2 linked regions of the Bombyx mori genome follow. The protein of the gene in region 1 purifies or fractionates together with the protein of each later gene. This does not show direct contact. Links are inferred from orthologs where the notes say so. Each region holds a gene or a part of one and is shown on either strand. Other genes may lie near its edges.

Region 1 (4,829 bases):
AGCCGGGTACTTCAAATTGCGTCTGTAGGTAGTTATACGCTTGATGTTTTATTAATCACTCATGCATTAGTTTTTTAGTTAAGTATTATCTTTTTTAATTAAGTAATTAGATCATTACAAAAATAAAAACTATTAGCAACATTTGAAATCTCGCTGCAATTTCTATGTCTAGAACTGTCTAGAGCACTTGCTCTTTATAGGAATTATGTATTTTTCACAAAATGTCCTGTTTTATTTTGTACATTTTTATCACTAAAGAACTTTGGTATGAAAACAGCAGGGTTAAACTAGTAACACAGTATACGGTATGTAGCGGCTTAGCTCCGCCCCTGGCATTATTGAAGTCCATGGACGACGGTATCATCAAGTGAGCCGTATGCTCATCTTCCTGTAAGGAAAACAAAAATAACAAAATATCCATCAAAAGATCAAACAAAATATTGTCCGCTAGAACTTTCAAAGTTTTCTATAATTTGCATGTCGATGGCTACTTGACAAATTTTAATGTGCTTAGGTCGTCAACATGAAATTTCAAAAAATTGTAAAAATCTAATAGGTGTTTTTTGTTGAGAGGTAGAGCGTAAGGCATAGTCTGCTGAACGGCATCACGCTTTAACGTTTTTTAGGATTGAAGTATAACTGGCGATAAGCTGGCCTGCAGGCCTTTCCGGTTTCTCCAGGACAGGTGGGCGACCACGGGTTCAGTCAGGAAGGGTGCGGTTTGCTAGCAACGCCTCCGAAGGAGACCTAACAACTCAAGAGTAGCTGCTTCGCGAATGAATCTGCTACCGCATCGGAATCGCAACCGCGAGAAAGATATGGTTCCCGATTTCTTTCTTGACTTCATTAGCAGTAGTGGGGGGTAACGCGTCTGAAAGTGCCAGGAAATCTCTGCGCTTGACCTTCTTGTCCACTAACTTAGTGTTTTCGGGGTTCGTGGTTCGAACACTGGTTGACTTGCTCGTATAGTGCTTCGGCCAGTAGCTCAGCCTTGTCATCGTGATCGTAAGCAGGGGGTTACCCTGAGGTGGATACGAAGGGGAGCATAGTTGTCTTGGTTCCTGATTTGAGACTCCTAGCTAGACGCCAATACGCTTAGTGAGAGGGCGCGGTCCTTCTAAATAATTTTCCCACCTTGTGCTACGGGCTTCGTTTAGGTGAGATTTGGCGTCCCACTGCAAACGATTCATCCAAAACCCGTTCAATTCAATGGGATAAAGATCGTAAGGCCGAATTGATGCATTCCTAACTTTTAGGAGTTTTCTGAGCTTGGGGACAGTCTAATGCGGTAAACAGTAGGTATGTCGTCGTATGTGTTTTAAGAAAAATGAAGAAAGAAGAAATGAATTTCATTGAAATTAAATTGTATTAAGTTGAGTTTTAATGAAATAGAATGAAACGATATTGTATCATACGAAATTAAAAATGTCCCAATTAAATGTTGGGAATTCATTGCGACTTCAGTGAGATTTTGGAAATACCAATTTAATACACTGCGTTTGTTAATTTTTTTCATACCTTCACATATTAACAGTTGCTAAATGGTTAAATTAAACTGAAGAAATACTAAAATAACAAAAATAGAAGAATGGACACAGTTGTTTTGATGTTCTTGTCAAAATCTCCAACACGACTTAGGCAGACAATAGTCAATTTTCATAGCTTTTTTACCCATTGGTCACTGTCCATGCAATTTGCTACATATTACCAAACATTTCAATATATTATGACAAACAAAATACCTTATAGCATACTTATGTGATTTGTGGCAAAGAATACTATGCATTACGGAACCTTAAATAATAAGTGTCTATGACGTAGACTAAATAGGATATCGCGACTGTTTACTGCGACTATCTCAAATATTAAGTGTATTATGCTGCGACTGGTATATAGTCGTATTCGTTAGTTTGTTTCTAGCTTTAATTTTTATTCAGCATGTTTTTATGCGATTTTTTAACCTTGAAGGAATACATTGCCACTCAGTACTCACTCAACAGTGAATTGGGTGGAATTGGTCCCGGCTACATTTAACAGTGTAGTGTTGGAGCGTGAACAATTTATATTTTGTCTTTTAAACCATAAACTATAGTACAATATACTGCGGTGCTTATATGAATAACAGTAAACGAAATTTTCAACTTTCCCCACATAGAAAGTGTAACATTTAACAAAATAATAAGTAATTTGACGCAGAATTTTACAATTTACTTGCTCGTGTTTGATTGTTACAATAAAAAAACACCAAAACAGTAGTCCAACATCATTGTAGAAGTTCTTGTATTGAAACAAACATGGAAAACAAAACTGAATTTGATTATCCGCATACATTTGTACTCCTCGGTGCGTCTGGGGACTTGGCTAGAAAAAAAATTTATCCTACTATCTGGTATTTATATCGTGACAACCTTTTGCCGCATAACACCAAGTTTATTGGTTATGCGCGTACTAAGCAATCTGTTTCCGAAGTAAGAGAAAGGTGTCAAAAGTACATGAAAATACGCCCAGGAGAAGAAGAAAAATTAGAGACATTTTGGAATGCCAATAACTATGTAGCGGGATCTTATGATGGAAGAATAGATTATGAGTTTCTTAACCGAATCATCAGTAATCACGAGAAGGGCCCTATTGCAAACAGAATTTTTTATTTAGCTGTACCTCCAACGGTCTTTGAAGATGTTACTGTAAACATAAAAAATGCCTGTACATCTAGCAAAGGTTTTACTCGTGTTATTATTGAGAAACCTTTTGGACGTGATGATGTCAGCTCTGAGAAATTAAGTAATCACTTAGCTGGACTATTTATCGAAGAACAAATCTACAGAATTGATCATTACCTTGGTAAGGAAATGGTCCAAAACTTGATGACCATAAGATTTGCAAATCAAATATTCAATCCAGCTTGGAATAGAGAAAATATAGCATCTGTTCTTATATCATTTAAAGAACCATTTGGAACTGAAGGTAGAGGAGGGTACTTTGATGATTTTGGCATAATAAGAGATGTCATGCAAAATCATTTACTACAAATACTTTCTTTAGTTGCAATGGAAAAGCCTGTCACTCTAAATCCTAATGATATTAGAGATGAAAAAGTGAAAGTTTTGAGGCATATCCAACCAATAGAATTAAAAGACATTCTAATTGGGCAGTATGTCGGTAATCCTGAAGGTCAAGGTGAAGAAAAATTAGGTTATCTGGATGATCCAACTGTGCCTGGAGACTCCTTAACTCCCACATATGCTCTTGCTACTTTGTGGATCAACAATGCAAGATGGCAAGGTGTCCCCTTTATTCTAAGATGTGGAAAAGCTCTGAATGAAAGAAAAGCAGAAGTTCGTGTTCAGTATAAAGACGTTCCAGGTGATATATTTTCTGGACATGCAAAACGAAATGAACTGGTCATAAGAGTCCAGCCAGGAGAAGCCTTATACTTAAAAATGATGTCTAAATCTCCAGGAATGAAATTTGACTTAGTTGAAACAGAACTAGACCTCACTTATAGTGCACGCTACAAAGAAGCCAGTGTACCTGATGCATATGAAAGGCTCATATTGGATGTGTTCACTGGTACCCAAATGCATTTTGTGCGTAGTGATGAATTAAAAGAAGCATGGCGAGTATTTACACCTATTCTCAAAGATCTCGAAGATAATCACATTAAGCCAGTGCCATATGTTTATGGATCTAGAGGTCCTAAAGAAGCTGATGATAAACTGGCTGGATATGATTTCAAGTATTCTGGGTCTTATAAATGGAAAAAACCTATTCATTGATTTAAAATAAGTCTGTATTGGTTTTCAGGTTGTAGGTAAACTTGGGTCGGTTTTTATTTTAAAGGTGCATAATAAACATATACATATTTAAAATTTGATCAACATTTCATCAATAACTCAATTCTGAAGGGTGAAAAGGAGGATTTAAGTTGACTGTGATTAAAAGACAAAAAGCAACTAATAGAATGCTGTTTAATTACCACATAAATTTTTTTTCACTGGTATGAAATGCTTAGTTTTGTTTCCATACTTAACAATTAAAGAAAACTTTCTGCTACTATTAAAATATATAAGTATACATAATTTCTTAATCTCAGAACTTTTTCTGTATTGTTACTTTAGAACTGAAGTATCAATGTAGATTAAATGATTAAAACTTTTAAGGTCATTTTAAGGTTAATGTGGCTGGTATAGATCTGAATGCATTTAATTACTAATGAAGTCTTCCATTGACAGCACAATAATGAACAATTGTATATTGAGTATCTATGTACATACTTAAAATTTAAAATTGTAAACATTCCACTTATCAATATGTTAGTAAATATGATCAACAAATTTGAATAGGGGACCAATTTATCAAATATGGTTGTGCTTGTGCCTTATTTCTTGAACATAATCATAAAAAAATTATTTCTCGAATGTAATCATAAAAAAATGACAGAGTAATTGAATGAAAGCTGTGATAATCACGTGGTTTATGTAATGAATCACGTTCAATGGTGTATGTATTTATAAATGTTAAAGGTCATATTTTGAATAGATATTATCAGCTTTTTGGTTTCGAACGATTATTGTTGCGTTATACACAACTTAAAAAAATTAAGTTGATTAAGTGTATTGTAAAATTAATTTTCTTATTGTATTTCATGAAATAAAAATGTCTTGTAACAATGATTAGTTATATCATCGTACCTGCTTTCACTAACAGTAGTTAAATGTTAACAAGGAGTACACACCTATGCCTGAATATATGTCATACATTTTCGATCTCAATAACAATCAAGTTTGTATTTACTACTAAACCAAATTTAATACATACTTATCTAACTT
Region 2 (3,428 bases), on another chromosome or scaffold:
CATCCTTGAGCACGGATTATTTTTCTTACTTGGAAAAAAAGAAATAAAACAGTGTAATTTATGAGTTTTTTGAAAACCAATTGCATAATAATAATAAAGTAGTGCCCTTGTACTCTGTATCCTTATTGTTGTGTTTCTTCTAACAGCTGTGTGTACAAAATATATTAAATGATTGCAAATACATATAATTAGGTTTTAAAAAATACTTTTTTCTTTAATTTAATTCCGTGGTGTGGTGGTTTTTGGATCTTAAAATATGTATGGTACTTTGCAACTTGACAAAAAAGTTGTCTGTTGTCTTAAAGTTGAAATTTTTATTCCGATTTTCCCAAGAAGCCAGAAAATTAATCAGTTCGTTAAGGTTGTGGACAATGATTTTCGACTACTAAAATATTTTACCAGAATACTTTATCAACAATACAATTTACGTTTATTTTTTAGGACTTTGACATAGCTGGTATATATGATCCTATGGTACCTGATGCAGAATGCTTGAAGGTAGTGACAGAGATCCTAGAGGCTCTTGACATAGGACAATATATCCTCAAAGTGAACCACAGAAGATTACTTGATGGAATGTTTGAAGCTTGTGGAGTTCCCGCAGATAAGTTTAGGACCACATGCTCCACAGTTGATAAACTAGATAAGGTAAAGCATTAAAAGATACAAATTATAAATAAAACATACCTGTATATCATGCATAGTACAATAAATCTAGATTCATATAAAACAAAACAAAACTTATTGTAAAGCGCTAGGGCTACTAACTGCTTTAATGTCATTTCTGCAACAGTTTTATAGTCAACATGACAAGACTACATTTATCAAGAATATTCCCGATAGAACTACTCGTTTTGATAAGTGTTTTGGCTATTTGATAAAAAATGGCGTTGCACTTCCCCAGTGTTCTCGATATTACTAGTTCGTTAGATATTTGTTTCTGCTATTTGATGACAGATGGCGTTACTCTTACCCGCATAACATTATTTTAAAATCAGTCTGCTATAACTAAAATAATTGTAAGTCAATAAGGATTTACAGATTGTAGGCCCTCAGGCTAAAAAATAATAATAAATATAATCCAAAAGTGAATGTAATTGATATGTTGAGACAGTCTCAAGTTTGAATGTAGTGATAATATTCTGTAGACTAAGTCAGGTGAGTTGTAAGCTCATTCACTCACTTGCACCTAAACAATAAACCTTAAAAAAGTGCATGCAATTTTGGGTATTAATGTCAATTTATTCATTTTAGTCACCATGGGAGGAAGTAAGAACCGAAATGATTAATGAAAAAGGTGTGTCACCTGATGCAGCAGACAGAATTGGAGAGTATGTACGCTTAAACGGTAGCACGGAACTGGTAGAGAAACTATTGAAAGATGAGAAATTATCTAAAGTAAAGGCTGCATTAGAAGGTGTAGAAGCAATCAAAACTTTGCTACAGTATTGTGAACTCTTTGGCATTAAGGATAAGATTCTGTTTGATTTGAGTCTTGCCAGAGGATTAGATTATTACACTGGTGTTATCTATGAAGCAGTGCTTACACGTAAGTTTAATTCATAATGAAAATGTTTTGATTGAAATCAAATACTACTTTTCTTGTTTTTTGAATTAAAATTGTAATGGTGGTGCTAATAAAGCCGCACAATAATAATTACGTTTAGTCTTAAGCCACAATAACCCATCAATAACTAAACATTAAGAAAGTTTGCATTACATTGGCCTTTTTATGTAATAACTTTTTAAAGATAAGTTGATAAATGAATGGCGTATTATCCTTTTTTTATTAAATTAGTAATACAAACTCATTTCATAGAAAAATGTGATTTGGCCCATTTAGCTCCAGAACTCAGAAATAATAATTGAATTATTTTACTAATTTTGAAAAAATTAGACATATTGTAACAAAGGTGGGGTAACTGGTACATGAGTTTGAAGCTGTTGTGGGCTAAAGGCTAAGGCGCCTGTAGTGCTAATATCAAACAATGCAACTACGCCTATGTTTAAATCCTTAGGACGGGATTTTTTAATGAAATACATAATTAACACATGCTCACGAATGACTTTGCAATGAAGGAAGAAAATCTTGTAATAAAAGCTAAACCCTCGCGTCGAGATCGTTATATCCGATCGGTAGGATCTTTAGCTATTGCACCGGCTTTTACGGGCCTCCGGACGATTAGGTTTTTGAAAAAAAAACTATTTTGAGTTATTTAACGTCAGGTTTTAGCTCCGTGAGCTCACTTACTCGCCCTGTGACGCTGATATGGTCTCTCAAGACCATCAGTTTAGGTAGTAAAAAAAAATTGCCGCTATGCAAATCGAAATCTCCCCGCGACTCCTCCCCCCTGAATGTATCCTGTTCTTCAACTATGGGCATATCTGCGCAGAGCTCCGCGTCGTCGTATATTTTTAGCTTCTACAAATGCCGGTGCTGTCGAATTTTAACAAATCTTCATTAATTATTATCACGTTTACTACAGCCCCTTTATCGTATGAAATAAGAAATTTACACTTCAATTAAAATGGTAACATTAATGATTATGCTTTAGCAAAAATGTTAATTTGATCGTTGAAGCACGATATTAATTATATAATACCGACAATTAGATTGATTGTAATTACCCTTAACGCCTAACTAACACGAATTGTTATTTCCTTCTAGAACCTATTAAAATTGGAAATGAGGAACAAACGGTTGGATCCATCGCTGGCGGCGGAAGATACGATAACCTCGTCGGCATGTTTGACTCAAAAAACAAACAGGTATTTTGGAATGTCGAATAAATATTTAAGCGGTAGGCAGCCGCCTGGCTCTACCCCTGGCATTGCTGGCGTAATTTCGTGGCATAAGATCTATGCAATCTAATTTACTACGTTTTGTTTATTTTGTCCACTCATCAAAAGTATTTGGAATGATTTTTTAATGGTTGCAAGAAACTGACGACTCTCAGTCAACATCATTCTCCTGCCCTTCTCCCAGTTACCTGGGGTCGGCGCAACATGTTTTCTCCTTCCATATTCTTCTATCATATACCATTTCTTCGCTCACTCCCTTCTTACCCATATCGTCTTTCACGCAATCCATCCATTTTTTCTTAGTACAGCTCTCAGTATGAATTGCAAAATAATTAAATAATTATGTATACAGGTGCCATGTGTAGGTGTGAGTATTGGCGTTGAGCGTATATTCTCGGTACTGGAAGCGAAACTCGCCGCCGGTGACATAACGGTTCGCACAAGCGACATTGACGTGTATGTAGCGTCAGCACAAAAGAACTTCCTAGAGGAGCGCATGAAAATATGCGCTGAACTGTGGGATGCTGGGATCAAGGTGACGTGATTTTTTTTATTGACACTTTAAAATTTTCATAAATTACGCAAATTTTAATAAGGCTCAGTGTGTTTTATCTAATTTAACATAT

What was found. The genes of interacting proteins can lie anywhere in the genome.
Region 2: the proteins of glucose-6-phosphate 1-dehydrogenase (region 1) and histidine--tRNA ligase, cytoplasmic fractionate together in Homo sapiens (co-fractionation; 3 studies listed by BioGRID). This does not show direct contact. The link is inferred for Bombyx mori from reciprocal best matches to the Homo sapiens genes G6PD and HARS1.

What each region holds. Positions count from the first base shown.
Region 1 is NC_085110.1:6,613,424-6,618,252, reverse strand, and holds glucose-6-phosphate 1-dehydrogenase, read left to right. Parts: upstream 1-1,865; 5' UTR 1,866-2,294; coding exon 2,295-3,776; 3' UTR 3,777-4,670; downstream 4,671-4,829. UniProt on the Homo sapiens protein: Catalyzes the rate-limiting step of the oxidative pentose-phosphate pathway, which represents a route for the dissimilation of carbohydrates besides glycolysis.
Region 2 is NC_085119.1:11,015,252-11,018,679, forward strand, and holds part of histidine--tRNA ligase, cytoplasmic, read left to right. Parts: intron 1-441; coding exon 442-648; intron 649-1,254; coding exon 1,255-1,549; intron 1,550-2,668; coding exon 2,669-2,769; intron 2,770-3,154; coding exon 3,155-3,337; intron 3,338-3,428. UniProt on the Homo sapiens protein: Catalyzes the ATP-dependent ligation of histidine to the 3'-end of its cognate tRNA, via the formation of an aminoacyl-adenylate intermediate (His-AMP). Plays a role in axon guidance.